Sus scrofa: one gene and its partners. The protein of the gene in region 1 interacts with the protein of each later gene in a pairwise test. Links are inferred from orthologs where the notes say so. Each region holds a gene or a part of one and is shown in the gene's direction. Other genes may lie near its edges. The genes, in order: EMILIN1, MTMR9, PLAC9, BEX5, IFT20 and ZC2HC1C.

The links.
Region 2: the proteins of EMILIN1 (region 1) and MTMR9 interact in binary tests that used the Homo sapiens proteins (3 or more experiments, as listed by UniProt). The link is inferred for Sus scrofa from reciprocal best matches to the Homo sapiens genes EMILIN1 and MTMR9.
Region 3: the proteins of EMILIN1 (region 1) and PLAC9 interact in binary tests that used the Homo sapiens proteins (3 or more experiments, as listed by UniProt). The two-hybrid records come from large-scale screens. The link is inferred for Sus scrofa from reciprocal best matches to the Homo sapiens genes EMILIN1 and PLAC9.
Region 4: the proteins of EMILIN1 (region 1) and BEX5 interact in binary tests that used the Homo sapiens proteins (3 or more experiments, as listed by UniProt). The two-hybrid records come from large-scale screens. The link is inferred for Sus scrofa from reciprocal best matches to the Homo sapiens genes EMILIN1 and BEX5.
Region 5: the proteins of EMILIN1 (region 1) and IFT20 interact in binary tests that used the Homo sapiens proteins (3 or more experiments, as listed by UniProt). The two-hybrid records come from large-scale screens. The link is inferred for Sus scrofa from reciprocal best matches to the Homo sapiens genes EMILIN1 and IFT20.
Region 6: the proteins of EMILIN1 (region 1) and ZC2HC1C interact in binary tests that used the Homo sapiens proteins (3 or more experiments, as listed by UniProt). The two-hybrid records come from large-scale screens. The link is inferred for Sus scrofa from reciprocal best matches to the Homo sapiens genes EMILIN1 and ZC2HC1C.

Annotation. Positions count from the first base shown.
Region 1 is NC_010445.4:112,034,170-112,036,928, reverse strand, and holds part of EMILIN1 (EMILIN-1), read left to right. Parts: intron 1-489; coding exon 490-2,424; intron 2,425-2,759. UniProt on the Homo sapiens protein: Involved in elastic and collagen fibers formation. It is required for EFEMP2 deposition into the extracellular matrix, and collagen network assembly and cross-linking via protein-lysine 6-oxidase/LOX activity.
Region 2 is NC_010456.5:14,488,974-14,492,473, forward strand, and holds part of MTMR9 (myotubularin-related protein 9), read left to right. Parts: intron 1-1,516; coding exon 1,517-1,658; intron 1,659-3,417; coding exon 3,418-3,500. UniProt on the Homo sapiens protein: Acts as an adapter for myotubularin-related phosphatases. Increases lipid phosphatase MTMR6 catalytic activity, specifically towards phosphatidylinositol 3,5-bisphosphate and MTMR6 binding affinity for phosphorylated phosphatidylinositols.
Region 3 is NC_010456.5:81,891,910-81,895,409, reverse strand, and holds part of PLAC9 (placenta-specific protein 9 precursor), read left to right. Parts: intron 1-2,266; coding exon 2,267-2,364; intron 2,365-3,476; coding exon 3,477-3,500.
Region 4 is NC_010461.5:83,606,998-83,611,186, reverse strand, and holds BEX5 (protein BEX5), read left to right. Parts: upstream 1-1,389; 5' UTR 1,390-1,620; intron 1,621-1,675; exon of another isoform or gene 1,676-1,995; intron 1,996-2,748; 5' UTR 2,749-2,807; intron 2,808-3,231; 5' UTR 3,232-3,259; coding exon 3,260-3,598; 3' UTR 3,599-3,821; downstream 3,822-4,189.
Region 5 is NC_010454.4:44,611,385-44,613,683, reverse strand, and holds part of IFT20 (intraflagellar transport protein 20 homolog), read left to right. Parts: 5' UTR 1-64; intron 65-468; 5' UTR 469-628; coding exon 629-704; intron 705-863; coding exon 864-992; intron 993-1,985; coding exon 1,986-2,071; intron 2,072-2,299. UniProt on the Homo sapiens protein: Part of intraflagellar transport (IFT) particles involved in ciliary process assembly. May play a role in the trafficking of ciliary membrane proteins from the Golgi complex to the cilium.
Region 6 is NC_010449.5:98,263,827-98,268,051, forward strand, and holds the start of ZC2HC1C (zinc finger C2HC domain-containing protein 1C), read left to right. Parts: upstream 1-1,425; 5' UTR 1,426-2,385; coding exon 2,386-3,696; intron 3,697-4,225. Other genes in the region: ACYP1 (acylphosphatase-1), read right to left, coding at 1,008-1,128.

The DNA of each region.
Region 1 (2,759 bases):
GGCCTCCCCCACATTCCCATTTCCCTTGCTCTGAGGGGGTGACAGTGTCATTCCCGTTTTTCAAATGTGGAAACAGTTTCTGTAAAGTTAGAGGCACTCTGGTCAGTGGAAAGGACCTGGGCTTGGTGCTCAGACGGATGACCTGGGTTTGAAACTTGTCTCTGCCACGTATAAAACTTGATAGCCATGGCCCAGTTAATTAAGCTCCCTGGTCCTCTGTTTCCCAGTCCATGAATTGGAAAGGGTTAATGGACTCTGCCTAATGGAGCTGCGAGGGAAGAGAGCCGTGGTGGACAGCTGGCTTAGAGGCATTCAGTGCATGGAGCTTCCTTCCATCTTTTCTTGCCCAGGTCACCCAGCTAAGGAATGGCCAAATCAGCCGAGACCTCTGCCCTCTGCTTGCAGTTGGGGAGGTCAGCTCCTAGGAGGTGGGCCCTGAGCTCTGAGGTCTAGCTCCCCCGCCTCATCATGCCTTTCCCTCTCCGCCAGGTCCTGGGGAATCGGAGAAGGTGCAGCAGCTGGAGGAGCAGGTGCAGAGCCTGACAAAGGAGCTTCAGGGCCTTCGGGGTGTCCTGCAGGGACTGAGCGGGCGCCTGGCAGAAGATGTCCAGAGGGCTGTGGAGACGGCCTTTAATGGGAGGCAGCAGCCAGCAGATGCAGCTGCCCGCCCGGGCGTGCACGAAACCCTCAATGAGATCCAGCAGCAGCTGCAGCTCCTGGACAACCGCGTCTCCACCCACGACCAGGAGCTGGGCCATCTGAACAACCATCACAGTGGTGGTGGCAGCGGTGGTGGTGGTGGCGGCAGGGCCCTGGACTCAACCCCGGCTCCTCCCGGCCACAGCGAGGAAGTGCTGCGGGAGCTGGAGCAGCGGCTGCAGGAGTCCTGCTCTGTGTGCCTGGCGGGGCTGGATGGCTTCCGCCGGCAGCAGCAGGAGGACCGGGAGCGGCTGCGAGCCCTGGAGAAGCTCCTGGCCTCCGTGGAGGAGCGGCAGCGGCAGCTCGCTGGGCAGGCCCTGGGCCGCTGGCCCCCTCAGGAATGCTGCCCTCCGGAGCTGGGCCGGCGGCTGGCCGAGCTGGAGCGGAGGCTGGATGTAGTGGCCGGCTCAGTGACGGTGCTGAGCGGGCGACGAGGCGCCAACCTGGGAGGAGCAGCTGGGCAGGGGGGCCACCCGCCAGGCTATACCAGCTTAGCCTCCCGCCTCTCTCGCCTGGAGGACCGATTCAACTCCACCCTGGGCCCCTCGGAGGAGCAGGAGGAGGGCTGGCCCCGGCGTCCTGGGGGGCTGAGCCACTGGCTACCTGCTGCCCAGGGCCAACTAGAGAAGTTGGAGGGGCTGCTGGCCAACGTGAGCGGGGAGCTGGGGGGGCGGCTGGATCTGCTGGAAGAGCAGGTGGCAGGGGCTGTGCAGGCATGTGGGCAGCTCTGCTCTGGGGCCCCAGGGGAGCAGGACTCCCAGGTCAGTGAGATCCTCAGCGCCTTGGAGCGCAGGGTGCTGGACACCGAGGGGCAGCTGGGGCTGGTGGGCTCAGGCCTGCACAAGGTGGGAGCAGCTGGGGAGGCCCAGCAGGCCGCGCTGGAGGGGCTGCAGGGGGTCGTGGGCCAGCTCCAGGGTCGCGTTGATGCACTGGAGGAGACGGCCGCAGAGCTCACGCTGCAGCAGAATCTCACAGCCGCGCGGCTGGGCCAGCTGGAGGGTCTGCTGCAGGCCCGAGGGGATGAGGGCTGTGGGGCCTGCGGTGGTGTCCAGGAGGAACTGGGCCGCCTTCGGGATGGCGTGGAGCGCTGCTCCTGCCCCCTGTTACCCCCGAGGGGCCCTGGGGCCGGCCCGGGTGTTGGGGGACCAAGCCGCGGGCCTCTGGATGGCTTCAGCGTGTTCGGGGGCAGCTCGGGCTCAGCCCTCCAGGCCCTGCAAGGAGAGCTCTCCGAGGTCATTCTCACCTTCAGCTCGCTCAACGACTCGCTGCACGAGCTCCAGACCACCGTGGAGGGCCAGGGTGCCGATCTGGCCGACCTGGGAGCCACCAAGGACCGCATCATCTCTGAGATTAACAGGCTGCAGCAGGAGGCCACGGAGCACGCTACAGAGAGTGAGGAGCGCTTCCGGGGCCTGGAAGAGGGACAGGCCCAGGCCGGCCAGTGCCCCAGCCTAGAGGGGCGACTGGGCCGCCTGGAAGGAGTCTGTGAGCGGTTGGACACGGTGGCCGGGGGACTGCAGGGCCTGCGTGAAGGCCTTTCCAGACACGTGGCTGGGCTCTGGGCCGGGCTACGGGAAACCAACAGCACCAGCCAGACCCAGGCAGCCCTGCTGGAGAAGCTGCTGGGGGGGCAGGCCGGCCTGGGCAGGCGGCTCGGTGCCCTCAACAGCTCCCTGCTGCTCCTGGAGGACCGGCTTCACCAGCTCAGTCTGAAGGACCTCACTGGTGAGGGGACAAGAGGAGGCTCGGTGTCGGGGGGACCCCTTTCAAGTCCTTTCTTTCTCTTCCCCTGACCCCACAACAACCTAGCTTTAAGCTCGTCTCCTTTCTCCTTGCCCTGTGCCACATGAATTACAGACCCACACTGTCCCATGGCTTGGGACGCAAGAGACGAGCCAGGTCCCAGCTCCCCGCCCTCCCCTGATGGCTCGGACAGGCCTGTGGGCGGAGGCAGGGTGCTGCTCTGCCAGCTAGTATCCCGCATGGGCAGCAGGGGCCCCCATCACCCTGTCCGCGGAGCCACCCCCTTCCTTGTCCTTTGGAAACTTCTTGTATGGCTC
Region 2 (3,500 bases), on another chromosome or scaffold:
TTACTTACTGTTCCATAAAAATCTTTCTTTATAAATAATTACTCAAAATGTAAAAACAGACCTTAGGTTAGATGAATTAAAATTAGAGCATACTACAGATAACTAGGCTATATATCCAATATATATCAGAAGCCCTAAAATATTTGCCCATACCCTTTAGTCTAGTCATTAGATTTCATCCTAAGAATGGGATTGTTAACCAGAAGTGAACATCAGGGAGTCTTGTTTTCAAATTAAGAACTCTAGAATAATTCAGCAAAAGACAAAAAGCTAAGTATACCACCTACAATGTAGGAAAAATTCGCAGTGACCTAAATGTCCAACTATAGGATTAAGTATGTTGTAGTTTATTACTTAATAGAGTATTATGTAACTATTAATACAGTACTTCTATAGATGACATAGAAACATGGGAAAATGTTTATAATAAAAATGGAAATAATAAGTTACCTTTCATTATAGCTGTGCTAAAGTATAAAGTATATCTGTACATGGGGAAGGAATCCCACCCCCCCCGTCTTTTTGCCTTTTCTAGGGCTGCTCCCTCGGCAATATGGAGGTTCCCAGGCTAGGGGTCGAATCGGAGCTGTAGCCACCAGCCTACGCCAGAGCCACAGCAACGTGGGGTCCGAGCCGCATCTGTGACCTACACCACAGCTCCTGGCAACGCTGGATCCTTAACCCACTGAGCAAGGCCAGGGATCGAACCTGCAGCCTCATGGTTCCTAGTCAGATTCTTTAAACACTGAGCCATGACGGGAACTCCGGGAAGGAATTAATAGTAGTAGACAAACATGAAACTTACAGGAAAGTAGTGAGCTTATTTTCCTTTTCCCACAATTTCCTTCACTGTCACTTCAATAAAAAGAGGAGAGGGGAGAAGATGTAGTTAATTTAGTTTTCAGTGTTTCCTTTCATTCTTTAGAATAATGGAGTTCCAGACACTTCATACAGCGTGTTGTGATAGTATCATTGCCACTGACTTTCTAGATTGACAGTTTTATATATATATGTAAAAAAATTTTTCTTCCTATTTTCATGTTTCTCAAAGTGTGTTTCAGGACTTGTTTTCCAGATTCATTACAGTTTATGAAGGCAGTCTTTACAGTAAGCTGATGGCAGAAAGGTAGAAGCAAGGTCAGAGAGATACAGAAAAATAATTGTTTCTCAGTTTGATGAGAAAAGGCTTTAGTCAACTATTAAAGCAGAAAATGTCAGTGCCTACTGAGTTTGATAAGGTCTGCTTTGTGGTTTTGTAAAGAAAGAAAAAATCAAGCTAAATGGTTCTATGAAATTTGTTACAAATAAACAGGTTCTCGCCATGTGAAATTTGGGACTTATTATAGTTTCATATTTTCCCCAAGGGACACTCTCCTCATATTCCTTATTTAGCCTCTAAGCCCTACTGGACAGAGCAGAATGCAAGACTGTGAAATATTGGGCTCAAACATGTTATTAACAAGAGTTGTTGACCATGTTGGGAGTGTCCCATCTGTACTCTGGGTTTTCCTATCAGGGAAGGAGCATCCATATTGATTCATGGAACAGAAGGAACTGATTCCACACTTCAGGTTACGTCCCTGGCCCAGATCATCTTGGAGCCAAGAAGCAGGACCATCCGTGGCTTTGAGGCCTTGATAGAAAGAGAGTGGCTGCAGGTGAGAAAAATGGCTTGCTCACACTTGATGTTTGATCTGGTTTGTTGGAAAGGACATAATATATGGAATTCTGATTGATTCAAATGTTTAAATTGTATGTTTAATTTTCTGGGGGGACAGTTCATCTTCCTCTTAGTTAATGTCTAATCTTTTTGCCTCCCTCTTTGCTCACATTGTTCACTTGGCGCTTCATTCCCCTAAGAAACCCGTATCAGTTGTACTTTTACATTCTTTGTGTTTCCCCTGTAGGTAACATAGTCTTGTCTTGCTAGAGATAAAAGTCATAAATGAGGTGGGGAGGAGGAGTGGGGACTTGTAAATATGCGGCGGCAGCATGTGCTTTAGCATTTTCTACCTTCTGCCTGTCTGGCTCCATCCCGTTGTCTTCCCCAGCCATGTGAAATCCTTCTCATCCTTTAAGATCCAGCTAAATGTCGCTGCTTTCATGAAGTCTTTGGGACCCTGACTTCCTTCACGGATAAAATTGACCCATTTTCCTCACACCTTGTTTCCTGAACTATACCCAGACACAGTGACAGAGAAGTCAGGGAGCCTTGCCGAATTCAGCTGTTTATCCCTAGGATACCACACAGTGCTGTCATATTTAATGCTGAAGAACAGCTAAAATAAAGGTGTCATAAAATAGATTTAAATCTTCCAAGCTGGAGTTTAACTTATAGATGTATATATACTGTGTTAACTTACTATATATATTGCGATTGAAAATAATGTTTAGATATATCTTGAAAGTATAAGTACCTTTGGAGAAAAATCATTTCTGGCCCTTCTGGTTACAGTTTGGGTTTATTATGTATTAATACTGTTATGTTTACTGAGTCTACCCACTCTGACAACTAACCTTTATGTCTAAGTCAGACCGTCCTAAATATTTCATGCAAATCTTATTCAGCTACATTCCATGTGATGCACAGCAGACAAATGAGTATGATTTACTTATTAACATATTACCATTTTCATGGGTATCAAAATCCCATTCACATTCATGCTATTAGCTTTACCAGATAAAGTGGTATGAGGACCCAAAGATAAAGCAGGCCTGTTTAAAACCCAGAAGGGTGTGACTCTTGGGATAAACTCGGGTTCTAGATGGGCCAGAGAGCCTAATGGTTCTTAAATTTCCTTTGGTCAGTAGATGGCAGCCTCTTCCAGGTCCTTGTAGAAGGAGAGGGAAACTAAGGACAGCTTGGTCTGTAATATAAAAGTATTCACACAGATGTCTCCATGACATAACTTTTTTTGCATGTAATTAAAAGTTCAATATCAGGAGTGACCTGTTAAATTTGTCTGTGAGAACCCCTTGTTTATCTCCATTTAGTGGTGAGGCTTACACAGCTCACAATGATCTGCAGTGCTTTGGCTGGACAGAAGAGGATAGCTGTCCTTTGTTTCATACCGCAAGAGCTCATGTTCTTTGACTTTGCTCCAGATTTCATAGACCTCGAAAGATTTATGTTTATTATCGCTGAAGTTCATTATCCTTCTATTTGATATACCAAGAACAACTGCAGTTCTCATGGCTAACTGCATAGGCTAGTAAGGTATTTGGAAATTAATGTCTTTTCCCTTAGGTGCTGAAGATTGTCTTAAACTACGAAATCCATTAAAGAGCAGCCACCAAAAATATATGATGTTCCATTTAATAATAGTTTTGATGCAGCCGTGTGAAATGTGTTAACAGAATGTGCTATACTGTGATCCCACCAGGACATGACTGTCACATTTCCATCTCTCCTCTTAGGCTGGTCACCCATTCCAGCAGCGCTGTGCACAGTCAGCCTATTGTAACAGCAGGCAGAAGTGGGAGTCACCTGTATTTCTTCT
Region 3 (3,500 bases), on another chromosome or scaffold:
TTTTGAAGTAAAGCCAAGATCTCATAGCATTCCCTCTCTATTTCAGTTATGGAACTCTGAAAGACTTCTCTGAAAAAAAAATCCCCTGAGTGGAAGTGTTGGGATCCAGATAGACCAGGAAACATCAGGGCATGGAGATTCTGTAGAGCTCCAGAAGGTCATCTTGCTGAGGTGGGGCCAGGAGAAGGCCAGGGTGCCTGGAGTCCAGTCATTTGCTGACTGTGTGACCTTGGGCAAGTCAAGAGTTACACATTCATCACTAGCAAAATGGCTCCCCTCTCTGTCCTTACCTTAAGACCTGCCAATCTTCTGGGCAACTTTATATAAAGTCCCCTTGGGCCATCCCAGCCAATACTGAGCGTCTGAGAGTTATAAGAGTTCTGTGTCTACAAAGATCAAGTCTAATAACTCTTACCCCTACTCTGCTTCAGATGCCCACATTGCTCTCAGAAAATAAAGCATTTGTCAGTTTCCACAGTGGAAATACTCTCAGGGTGACTCCCACTTTGGTGGCTATATCTAACAATCCACTCAGAATTCCTGAACGTTTTACAAATAACTCTCCTCTTTCCTAATTCTATATGAATTTTCAACAGATGGTTCACCTCTTACTTTACCAAGTGAAGAGATCCCGTCAAATGGGACTCACTCAACTTCTTGGCCCTTTAGGCAGAACTTTTGTGCCCAGTTTTGCTGCATGTCCTCTCTCTTCCCTCCATGTGTTGCCCTGGGCCCCTACCACCATTTCTGGATTCCAGGCCTCACGTGTCTTCAGGAAATGCATTCTTTCTGTTCTCCTGTCTTCTGCCTGTCCTCGGACTATAAGCATGGTTTATTTTCTTCATCATTAAAAAACCTGGAAACAACCACAATGAACACTTCTCTAGACCTTGTGATCTGATCTCCCTTCCTTCACAGCCAAGCTTCATGGAAATATTTTTCAGGATCTAAGTTTCTCTTCTGATCTATCCTTCCCTTCTCATCCCACCAGGGTCTAGACTTTGCTCTGCTTCCATCTCTCTGCTGACAGTACTGGGGGTGCAATTCTGCATTAACTTTTCTGTTGCTCTGTTTTTCAATCTTTGTTGTGCTATACCTCCCTTCTGCTTTAGGCCGTACTAATGTTTCATCCTCTTTAAATCTCTTTGCTTCTTGTTTCTGGGCAGTATCCTCCTTCCTGAGTGTCCATGTGCTCCAAAGTTCCAGCCAACTCAGATGCCCCCAGAGCATCTAGGAGCCTCCAACACTGCAACCTGAGCTCAAAACTGGGGCTTTCAGGAGTTTCTGTCATGGCTCAGCAAAAACAAATCTGACTAGCTTCCATGAGGATGCAGGTTCGATCCCTGGCCTTGCTCAGTGGGTTAAGGATCTGGCGTTGCCATGAGCTGTGGTGTAGCTTTCAGATGAGGCTCTGATCTGGCATTGCTGTGGCGTAGGTCTAGGGGTCCAATTTGACCCTTAGCCTGGAAACTTCGACATGCCAGGGGTGTGGCCCTAAAAAGATGAAACAAGCAAAAACTGGGGCTCTCAGACTTCCGTGTGAGGGTTGGTGGTGCCAGAAATATCCAAGGAGGAACCATTGTTAAGTAAGAAAATGAGTCAGGAGTTGAACAGGGTGAACCTCAGATCTTCCGCTTACTAGCTGTGTGACACTGGACATGCATTTAATTCCTCTGTGCATCGATTTCCTTATGTGTAAATTGGGGATAATTGGTTGTTGTTTAGCACCTTGTGTGGTACATAGTGAGTACTGGTCAAATGTCAGATGTTACTAACTGTTCACCAGTGTCTGTGCTCTTAGTAAAGTATCTCCATGCATTTTCTTCCTATGGCTCCTGTCTCCTTTCATCACTTTTTACACTGATAACTGGTAACTTCCTGCCCTCAAAGACAAATCGCTCCAATCCATTCTCTGTATTTTTAAAAATTCATATATGACTATGTGATTCTTCTATTAAAATAAACCCCTAAACAAGCATCATGATTGGTTTATTAGGGCCCCTGGTAGATCCCTTCCTTACCTTACTTGTTCAGGCAGCACCTCCTTGAGGAAGCCCACTTGGGTCTGTAGATGACCACGGGTCTTAGAGACAAGGGAGTGATTGGGGCAGCCCCACACTTGTATGCTGACCCACCCTGTGCCTTCCTCTGCCTCTCCTTGGACAGTTTTCAGGAACCACCTCTCCTGAGCCCAGTACTTTGCAGGAGTCTCCAGTGTTACAGGGAAAGTGAGGGCCCCATAGTGACAAGACTTGTTTTCCCACAGCTGCTGAACCCTTCATCCCCTCTGGAGGAGACCCGTCTCGGAGCACAGCATGTGACAGATACATGGCTATCCACAGCCGATTGAACGTCATAGAGGAGGTAATGAGGGTGACCTGGGGGGACTTGCAGCTTCAGAACCACCTGCCAGGCTGGTGGCTTTGGAGGGCTCAGGCCAAACTTGCTTGGGAAGATTGAGGAAACCTAGGCCAATCCTGCTCCCTGGCCACCATATTAAACATCTCCCTGCTCTACCTGGGCTTTTAGGCTCACGGGCCCCCAACAAACTCTGCTTCCCTCCCGCCCCAGGCTTTACTTATCTCCAGCCAGAGATCTCTGCATAATCTGGACAAGAAGTTTGAAATTCAGTCACTGTTTTGTTATCCAGCCACAGTTTGTAACCTGGCGTCCATAACTACTGTGGGGAAAAAATTGCACTTTATTTTCAGAAAGCTTTCACTGAAATTTAGTATTCTCATTCATTATAAATGTAGACAACAAATCATAGTAATATTAACAGTACTATGACTTTGTCATCAGTAGAAATCAGCTAATTTAATCACATTATAGTCATTGTGTATATCTCAACATATCATTTATTCTAATTGGTATGTCAAAATTTCAGTAGTTGTTAGACTTGCTACTTAAATAAGTTGTTAAATAAATTTTATTTTTAATGCTTTAATAATATTTTAATTAAATTGATGTCCTTGGAAATCCTATGTTTTATTTTTTTGATGAAAGCGTTTTTCCAGTGGGAGGGTCTGTAGGTTTTACCAGACTGCTAATGGGGTTCATTCACAAGAAAAGAACCCCCATAAAGAAAATTTCGAAATCCCCAAACTGTCATTTGGCAGAATTGCCACGAGGGGGCAGGGCAACAAAAGGAACGTGAACTCACAGCAGTGAAGTCTTGAAAGAGAAAAAGGAATCCCAAAGTCCCCCCATGAAGAACCAGAGACTGAATGAAATCACTGTGTGGAGAGCCAGGAGTGGCCTTAGAGAGTGAGCCCCTAGGATTTTGTCATCTGGGAAACTGAGAGGCAGGCCAGGGCAGAGCCTGAATTAGGAGGACCCAGGTGCCTTGGCACCCAGTTCTTTCCCCACAGCACCCCCCAACTGGACTGCCAAGTGTTCCTTAGGATGTGGCTGATTAAGCAGGGCTTGGCACCACTCTTGTCTTCTGCTCCTCCCCACCCCTCTCCTTGCTCTAGACGGTGGAGAAGACGGTGGAGCAT
Region 4 (4,189 bases), on another chromosome or scaffold:
CTATTTTAGAGGCCATGCTGAAGTCTTTTTGTAAAGTGAATTTGCACTAATGTAATTTAAATATAATTTCGAGGGGACCATAAATTTGTCACAGCTTCTCAAGATCCGAAAATCCACCAGCGAGACTCCATCAGATGCACTGCCTCATCTCATAAAAGGAATGCACAGAGACCCTTCACAAGGGAAGCCACCAGCTTAGGTTTATAGTTCAAAGTCCTTAAAAGAGCAGTAAGGGAGTTCCTGTCCTGGCGCAGTGGTTAACGAATCCGACTAGGAACCATGAGGTTGCGGGTTGGGTCCCTGCCCTTGCTCAGTGGGTTAATGATCCGGCGTTGCCATGAGCTGTGGTGTAAGTTGCAGACGCGGCTTGGATCCCGGGTTGCTGTGGCTCTGGCGTAGGCCGGTGGCTACAGTTCCGATTCAACCCCTAGCCTGGGAACCTCCATATGCCGCGGGAGCGGCCCAAGAAATGGGAAAAAGACAAAAAAAAAGATCAGTAAGTGTGCTGTCCGGAGGGTCTACATTTATAGGATAATTCAGCAGCAGAAACAGGTTGCCAAGTTTTTGGAACCTGAATCTTATTTTTCAACTGAAATTAACTGTATTGTTTAATTATAACAAACAAACAAAAAAAATGAAATCAGGAGTTCCCGCCGTGGCACAGTGGTTAACGAATCCGACTAGGAACCATGAGGTTACAGTGTTCGATCCCTGTCCTTGCTCAGTAGGTTGAGGATCCAGCGTTCCCATGACCTGTGGTGTAGGTTGCAGACGTGGCTCTGATCCCGCGTTGCTGTGGCTCTGGCGTAGGCCAGTGGCTACAGCTCCGATTCGACCCCTAGCCTGGGAACCTCCATTTGCCTCGGGAAGCAGCCCTAGCAGAGGCAAAAAGACAAAAAAAAAAAAAAAAAATGAAATCATGCGAATGGGAAATTGAACAAAATTAATCACCCACCCCTTCGGAAAAAAATAAAAGTAAAATAAACAGGGAAATAATTAAGGTGAAGTTTGTTTTTTTTAATGTTACCTCTTATCTATTTTCCAGACTTCCTAGCTTTGTCCCCCTCACCTCCCCCGCCCCGGTTCCAGCCTGGGACAAAACCAACAAGACTGATGGGGAAATTCTAGGCTTTATTTGCTGGAGAGGGGAGGGGAGAGAGTGGGCATTTAATAATATAGAAGAGGAAGAAGAAATTCTTTAAAAGCTTCGACAGAAATCAGGGAAAAGGCAGATACAAATGACAAAATATTGTGACCCGTTTGGTGTCAAAGATTGCTAAATAGGAAAATAAATAAATAGATAAATAAATAGATACAAAGGGATGGGCAGTACCCAGGGGTCTTGGTAGGGAGAGGAAGGGAATGAGGAGGAAGGTGGCCCCGCCCACACTCGCGCTCCCAATCCCCAGCCGCACTGCAGGTACAACCACAACTGGGGACCTGAGTTTAGGGTGACGTAGCCCTTAAGAGACCTGGAGTGTACGCCTGTAGTACTCCATCCTTACAGTTGCCGGCAGTAGCTCTTTGTGGCTGTGCGCGAGCTTGCTATTGCCTTGAAGGCGGGCGAACCTGTACCCTGGGAAGGAGGAAGCCTCAGAAGCTGACAGCTATCCTCAGCAGGTTGGCGGGCACTCAAAGGGGAGGGAGCGGAGGGCCTGAGGGCAAAGACAAGAGCGGGTCCGGGACTGGAGTCACGCAACCCTTTCCCGCTATGCGCTTGTTTTGTGCAAGAAATGGAGGGTTTGTGGGAGATCGAGGGGTCAAGGGTTAAAAATGGTTACCAGATGGGATCTCTTAGGAGGTGGGCGGTCGGGCGACACCTGGAAGGGAAGGACCAGAAAAGGGGACTGCAAGGAAACGGCCTGAATCCTGCAGGGCGACAGGAGGGGCGCGCAACCTGTCACCTGGGTTGGAGACTGCGAACTCTGCAACGGGTATAGGACTCCATTCCCGGTGTTGCTTCTCCACCCTCCTTCCATTTTGGAGCCGGAAATGGTGGGCTACAGGAACTCGGGGGAGGGGGGCGGGGACCCAGGCGGCTGCAGCAGACGATAGGGGCGGGGATTTGGTCTGGGAAACAAGTCCCTTCTGTGGAGAAAACATTCGATCTGGCGAGCTACCGACTTAGGGCTATAGCTGGGGAGCCAGAAACAGTTTCTGGTCCCTTCAAGTCGGTTTAAGCATGGGCATTGCCTGAGGACCCTGTGGGTAAGAGTGACAAAGTGGTCACGCCCCAGCAGTTACAGGTTGCAATGCCCACGTTACCTCTTCGCCCTTCATCCATCTTGATGCATAAAATGGTGGGCAGTGGAAGGAGAGTGAGCTCCAGAAGGCCACTGGGTCCCAAAAGGTCCAGGCAGGTACCCAGATTGAAATTCTTTATAAATAAACCGCATACCTCTTAGCAAGCTCTTCAGACTCCCCAGCCCTGCAGAGTGTCCATTTGAGTTCAATAAATGGTAATTAGGAGAAGGGAAGGACAAGACAGTGGAGATAAGGGGCCTAAAGAAGAGGTGAAACTAGTTTGGAGGTGATGATTTATTATTATTATTACAATGCCTGTTTCTGAAAGGCAGGGTAGCACATCATGGGGTGGGAAAAGAAACTGTGAGACAGGAAGGTGGAGAAAGAGAAGGCAGCAACATTTGACTATCTGAGTCCTAAACCAACAGCAATGGAGCTGGTGCCCTGATACTGGTCCTTGAATCAATTGGTCAGCCCTGGCCATTGCTGCATTTCTGTCTGCAGGTCCACTGGTGCAACAGATTTCAAGGCTAAGAGAGGAAGACTACTTCTGATCCCTGCAGGTATGGAGGGTGCCTGGACCCTCTAGTGTAGGGGTAACAGGAATCAGAACAGAATCTGGAGGACTCCCAGCCCTCCCTGCCTGTGTTAAGTGCAGGAGAAACCTGATTTTAGAAACTGGACCTGTGGCTGGTGAGGGAAGAGAGGAGAGGGACAAGCTCTGGGGTGCCCATGGAGAGCTTACCAGGATCCCTGGTAGCTAAGGCCTGCTCTCTCAACCACTGTCCAGCCCACAACCTGTCCTACGTTTTGGTGCTAGGAGTTGCCCAGGGAAGGATTTTTAGGGAAAATGATGGGCTTTGAGTTAGGGCTGGATCTAGGGCGCCTCCTGGAGGGCCTACGAAGTATCTGGTGTGAAAGCCTTTGCCCACAAAGCTCTGAATCCCGTCATTTACAAAGCACTCAATCCTCCTTTTTGTCTCCTAGGAAGAAGAAGCAGGAAAGAAATCTCAAGATGGAAAATTTTCCTAAGGAAAACAAAGGAAAGGAGCAGGCTCAAATGCGGAATGAAGAAGCCCACCCTTTTGGAGGTGGTGAAGGCCAGAGGCCTGGGGAAAACGTTCCAGGGGACTGGGTTCCACCTGCCCAGGATTTTAGAGAGGATTTGCCCAATAGGCTTGTCAATAACATTGACATGATAGATGGAGATGCAGATGATATGGAAAGGTTCATGGAGGAGATGAGAGAGCTGAGGAGGAAAATTAGGGAGCTTCAGTTGAGGTACAGTCTGCGCATTCTTATTGGAGATCTTCCTCACCATGACCATCATGATGAGTTTTGCCTTATGCCTTGAATGCTGAGGTTAATAATCATAACCCCCCTGCTTCCCAAAATTGCATTTTCTTGATGTACCTTTTACTACGAACCTTTGGTGTTCTGTCATTTTTCTGATTGGAGATTTTGTTTTTACTTTTGACTTAGTCTGTAAGTTTTTCTGTCAGCGGGGGAGATTGATCAACTTGCATGGGAAGATGTCTATTCCATATGGTAAAGCTAATAAAGCAGGTTAAAAAGCAGTCTGTAGATGTACCATCTCATTTAAAATCATGCCAAGACTGGGGATCTGGTAGATGGACCCTTGGTTTTGGACAGGTTCCACCACGCAGTCATCACTGCTTCTTACCTAGACTGCCCTTCTCACAGTAAATATATTGTCCTATTTGTCCTGGTACCCTCAGTGCATAGCATAGGGTGTGATAAGTTGTATGAGGGCACAACAATTAACTATAGCTGAGTGAAAAGTCCTGCAATCTGGGCCCAGGTTTGTCTCTGATCACTTGTGAGCAAGTAACTTTCTTTCTCTGTAGACTGGAGCTTACAACTGAAAAAGGAACACAATGGAGAAAGCATTATATATCAAATTCAACACATGGGGATTTCCTGT
Region 5 (2,299 bases), on another chromosome or scaffold:
GCTTCATGCTCTTGTCCAGGCTGTTTTCTCTGCTCGGAATGCCTTTCCTTGACCTCCGTACTTGGTATGTTCTTGTGGATACGTCATTCCTTTTTGTGTTTTCTGCTGGAAAAAGACTGACTCAACTTTAGGTCCCAGTTCAGGCCATTGTACCTGTGGCATACATTGGGGGCAAAATTCTTACACCTGGCTTCTTATTTTTTTTTACCCCTAATTTTTAATTCACTCAGATTTTCTCTTTTACTTGCTTTTCGTATTGTTCCAGTACTGCATTCGAAAAGCTCTTTTATGTCCTTTTGGGTTCATAACTGGGGATACATGAATATACTTATGGCTCACAACTCAGTTCATGTATCACTTCCTTACCCCAAGTTAGCTGTTCTGGTCTCCTCCAGCACTTTAGTGATGTACCTGTAAACGCACTTAACATGGTATGATTTTTCAGTGCATATGTCTGTCTTCCTCCAGCTAAACTCTGTGCTCCTCCAGGGCGGGCACCATGTTGCACTCATCTTTGCCCCCAGCATCTAGCAGTGTTGGCATGTAGTAGGCACTCAAGAAATGTGTGTTCAGTGAACGATGCCTGTGACAAGCAACCGGACTTTATTCTTTCCTGACCCTTGCTCCTATGACATACCTCCTCCTGGCTGCTACTGTCACCCCTTCAGAGCAGAACTTCTCTAGGGAAGCCGGAAGGGAAACAGGTGAGACTCAGAGAGGCGGAGGCAGAGGGAAGGGGAAGCCTTTGGAGCCTCTGGGTTTCTCACTCTGGTGTCCGGGGCCAGGACTGGGGGCTGGGCTAGAAGCAGGCATTTCCTTGGGTGGCTGGGAAGTGATCGGGATTGGGGCTGGTTTCTTTACAGCTATGGCCAAGGATATCCTGGGTGAAGCAGGGCTGCACTTTGATGAACTGAACAAGCTGCGGGTGTTGGACCCAGAGGTTACCCAGCAGACCATAGAGCTCAAAGAAGAGTGCAAGGACTTTGTCGACAGTGAGTGTCGTGTGGGGAGACACGGTGCCTTTAGCTTGGAGCTCTTCCAACTGTGCCCCACCCCCACCCCTGACTGCAGCTCTTGGCCCTGGCCTTTATGAATCCCATATTCTACCCACCTTGGCTGCCTGCCCTCTTCTGCTCTCCTGCAATCTCAGAGCACCAATCAAAATAAACACTGCCATGGGGAGAGGAGGGTGTTTGTTTAGATCTGCCAGCTCAAGAACCTTAAAACTTCAGAACTGTGTCTTAGGGGTGGGAAATGGAGTTATGATTTGATTTCTTGGGAGAAATAGTGTTCTTGGTGGCAGACTTGCCATTATTTGGAGTAAAAGTTGATTAACTGAGTTTCTAAAGGCAGTTCAACAGACTCAATGAAGTCTTTTTTTTTTTTAGCTTGAGATAGCCAGAATGGCTCCTGTCCCAGCAGCCAGGCACATGCAGTAGCAGTGAATATGGAGCAGAGCTAGGCAGGGATTTCTGAGCCTCCCAGGGGCTCCATAGGCTATACAGAGAGCTTGACTGGTGAAGGTAGCTTGGGTTCTCTGGCCAGTCTTCTCATAGCTTCATGTTGTTCTACCCTCTGGGCCTTAGTTTATTCTTAAATAACATGGGGTTCCACCACACCCAGGGACTTTGAAAAAAGGCAAATGGGTGATTATGTCCTTAAATGCTTTGAGTTTTTTAATAGTTCTTGTCACAGAAGGAAAGCCCCCACCCGACTGTTAACTGAGATCTGGTGTCTGATCTGTGGTTTGTCTAGAGGCAGCGTTCATGTCCTGAGCCAGTGGGGACTCAAGATCCAAGTATGTCCCAGTCCAGCTCTGGGAACCTAGCCACCCTTCTCTAGGTTCAGACCAAGGGTGGCAGATATCAAACTTTTTTTGACAAATTAGAAGGGACAATTAGCCCTGCCTTCCTACACCAGTGGAATGCTGAGGGAGAGTGGTGATGCTGAGAAGATAAAACACTTTTTTGTTCTTTCTCTCAAAGAAATCGGCCAGTTTCAGAAAATAGTTGGTGGTTTAATTGAGCTTGTTGATCAACTTGCAAAAGAAGCAGAAAATGAGAAGATGAAGGTAAGATCAGCATGTTTTGTCTAATCTTGTCCTGGAACCCTGGCTCACTAGCCTCTCATCCTTCTGCACGCTTGACTTTTGGGGGAGGCGTTCTATAATTAAAACAAGATTTTAAATAACAATTCCTATACAAACATCACATTATGTTGTACACCTGAAACTAATATGTTATTTATACCTCAAAAAAATTCTTGATGAGAGTAGCATATACACACTTCTGTATAAATG
Region 6 (4,225 bases), on another chromosome or scaffold:
CTGGCTCAGTAGTAATGAAGCCGACTAGTATCCATATGGATGCGGGTTCGATCCCTGGCCTCACTCAGTGGGTTAAGAATCTGGCGTTGCTGTGAGCTGTGGTGTAGGTCGCAGACGTAGCTCAGATCAGATCCCGCGTTGCTGTGGCTGTTGCGGAGGCCAGCAGCTACAACTCTGACTTGACCCCTAGCCTGGGAACAGCCATGTGCTGCGTATGCAGCCCTAAAAAGACAAAACAAAACAAAACAAAAGAGAGAGAGAGACTTCATGGAAAGACAAAAGATTCTTCTTCCTCAGAAACAGGAGCGAAAGAAGTTAAAATGGAGGGAGGCACCCTGGGAAATTCTGCCAGACTGGAGGGGAGCTTAGGGAGTTGATGACAGACAAGCCCCATGCTGAGATAATTAGGGCCTTGAGAAGAGTGGGAAATGTCTGGAAATGCATACATAGAGAAGGCAGTGGAGAGTCAATTAGAAAAGAAAACAAGGCATAAAAGTACTGCCCTTGGAGTGCCACCAAGGAATTTCTTCGTAACATGTAAAAACTGTAATATGACATATTAAAGTATTAACACCGACCACTGCTGTCCGTATTGTTCTCCATGGGCATGAATCTTTTAAGCAGTTACAGGGAAAAAAGTAAGCTGCTTGTTCCAAGTAGCTTACACAAATGAATTGAAGCATAAAGACAAACAAACCTTCTTCTGATGTTAACAAGTTACAGAGCATCTTTAGTGTTGAAACCAGGTTATATTGAGTATTTTGGATCTGGTAGTTAACTTTATTATCATTACACTTGGTTGAGTCACTCTTTGGCCGCAAGAAGAGAGGATCAGAGTTACCACGTGAGAGTAAAACATTATATCCAAATAATTAGATTGGCTACGAAAACGTCCCCGGAAAGATACTGCAAAAGACACCGCGTAGCAAAACCTAGCCGATTTGCTAAAATTTGACGCAAGCTCCAAACTATTTGCAAGGAAAGCCATGGACAGTATACAGCCGTACCTGGGGCCCGTACAAAGCAGCCGAGCGTGCTAAGAAAAGCTATCAGTATGCCCACGGCGGCTAAGAGGGCGGACACCGGAATCCTGCGGCAGGTCTTGAGGACACATCTAAGGCGCTCCATCTTTTGCCAGAGAAGGACACACCCCAGGACCTGAAAGCATCGCTCTGAGAAAAAAAAAAAAATACAAGCCCTTTGATGGAGCCCCAGAAAAGCCTCTCCCACCCTCTTCTCCCGTTCCCTAAGGGCAGGGCTGGACGGAGCTGCAGAGTTGGTGGGACACCGGGTCAAATGACACTCGTGTTGACCGCGCCCGCGACCGGGCGACTCCCGGGTGTGCGGACTGCGGCTGCGCACGCTTCTCCGGTGGAATTCGGGGCGTGGCGGGACTGGGTGCGCATGCGCTTCGGTCTCCAGGCAACAGGAATAACAGAGGCCCGCCAACAGCGCCTGCACGGCGGCGGGCGGTTGGGAGGGTGGTGTGTGGTCTGGAAAACTAAATTCTGGGGTTTCCCCTGAGCAGGAGCCGTCTGCTAGAACAGGTACGCGGAAGGGCGGGAAGATATGGGGTCAGCACCTCGACCTCCCAAGGGCCCGAGAGACTGAAGAGCGAGCACTTGTCCCTAAAGCAGAGTTTCCAGTGGGGCTACCCGGCTGACCCTCCAGGACAGAACAGGACTTATGCGTTCCGGATATGAACCCCGCCAGATCAGGTGTTCTCCGCCTCTCAGGTTACCGACCTTCCGCCATCTGCGCTGCGAGGACACCTTGCGAGAGGGTTTGCCAGCCAGGCACTTGCTGCAGGCCTTGAGCCGGCTCTCTGCACTTTGGGGTCCAGCACGGTTCCAGCAGGCGGGAAGTCCTGAGAGCAGTTTGTGCCAGTTGCTTACCAACAGGCTGAAGTTTTCTACCTGTAAAATGGTGGAGCGGGACTTGGAGTCCTAAGGTCCCTAAGTTCCAGCCATCTAACTCTTAAGTGAACCCCTCAGTTTACTGGTGAAGAAACTGGAGCCGGCGAGGGGATGCTGCTTGTCCTGACTGAAAACTGACTTTCAGCCCAATAGCTCATTCCGCCTGCTACGGAGTATACTGTGTAAGCAGGAGCATCACTATGTATGATATATATAAAGGAAAGCTAGGTGGCAGGAACACCTGTATCACATTCCCTTTTTCTATCCTTAGGACCTAATAAGCACCCATAGGACATAATAAGCGCTTATCAAATGCTAGACCTAGCAGCACTGTCCCTAAAAAGTCTAAGGGAAACTGTGGGTAAGACAAGTGTAGAAATAGTTTACTTTCACAGCTGAGATGAACCTCAGACAAACTCCTCACATATGTCTGGTTTAAATCTCCCCTAGGCTTCTGTCCAAGCCCTGAATGGCTGGCCTCCAGTTGGCACTGACTCTGCCTGTGGGCATTATGTTCCCATATAATAAAAGGGAAGCTCCAGAGCTCCATTCAGTTAAGCAAGATCCCTATGAAAAAGGTGACTCTTCCCAGCGGTCTTCTATGGGGCACCTGAGGAATAATTTCCAGCAGGAGCTTTTGAGCAACAAAGAGCTGACACTAGATAAGCTCTACACTCACCCCAAATGGAACACCAGCATGAAAGCCTGGAGCTGCTCCTATCCCCACTGTGCTGAAATAAGCCAGCAAGATTCGAGAAAAGGTTTGTTTTACTCATCAGGCCCTCAATCCCAGTATCCCAAAGCAAATATCCAGGAATTCATCCCCTTTACAAAGAAGCGAGTTGGGGTGGACCGAGCATACCCACTGAAACCTGTGTTTCACCGGAAGTCCCGTAGTACAGGTGAGGCTGGCACTGATGGGGACCAGAATGTCTCTCTAAGATCCCATCAGCCAAGAAAGCTCTCATACAGCAGTTTTGGTTCAAGGAACTGGGTGAATTCATCTGTGGTTGGTTCCGTTGCTGCCACTCAGGAGGAGAGGGTTGTGGCAAACCCCAGCAGGATGGAATGGATGCAGATCCAAAGACTAGAAGCTGCAGGGGAGAGTTTAGAGGAGGAAATCCGAAGAAAAGAGACTCTCCTGAGGGAAAAGCTGAAGAAGACAGAGGAGGAACTCAGAAGGATCCAGAAGAAGAAAGAACAGGCTGAAGAAAATGAAAAAAGAGAGCTACAGAGGAGAATGGCACTACCCAGGAGGAGAGTTAAAGGCAAGAGTAACACCTCACACAAACCTATCTTCTCCCCAGAATTCAAGTCTGCGGAGGTCTTCAGTAGAGATGTAGGAGACGATGAAACTTGGGGACGGTCTCAAGAAAATTCTAGTCCATTCCAGTTCTCTGATCATGGAATTCAGAAGCTCAAAAGGGAAGGACTGATGGCAAGCAATAACCAAATCCGAGACCGAGTCTCAGGGCCGCTGAAGGAGAAGTTTTCTCAGGCTTCAGAAATGCCACCCAGTGCTTTGCAGAGATCTACCTGCCATTCTAGCTTGTCTAGGGCCCCAGACTCCTTGGGTTCCAGCTGTTCCACTGAAGAGCCAGAACTGGGTGCGTGCAGCCACTGTGGACGGAAATTTCTCTTGCTCAGACTTGAGAGACACTCCAATGTCTGCAGCAGGATGCGGGGTTCCAAGAGGAAAGTCTTTGACTCCTCCAGGGCCCGGGCTAAGGGCACAGAACTAGAGCAGTACTTGAACTGGAAGGGATCGGCCTCAGTCAAGGTAACAAGGGCCTTTAATGATTTGCCTTTGAATGGGGGTGTGAGCCTGTTATATCCTCATCTGTTTTCTTTAGAAAAATGTCATGTGTCATGCGTCATGTGGGGAGAAAGCGAGAATTAACATTTATTGATTACTACTGTGTGCCAGTCACTGTGATATTGTCACCACAACCCTGGGAAGATTTCAGTATCTCTTTATCAGTTTCAAAATTTAGTCTCAGGTTAACTTGTCTGAGTTCACAAATAGCTTTTAATGGCAGAGTCAGCATGTAAATCTGGGTCAGAATGACTCCAAAATGTAGAATTAAAAAATATGTCCTTTTGATTATAAAAGTAGTAAACATTTTAGAAAATTTAAGACATGAAAAATATAAAGAAAAAAATTATGCAGTGTTTCAGCACTCCCAGAGAATTCCTCACACTTTGCAATATACCCTGCCACCTCCCAAGATTAGGACCTGTTACCACTCCTAGAACTATACTTTTTCAATTAACTTTGATGAAACTTCTTAGTAAATATATGAGGTACC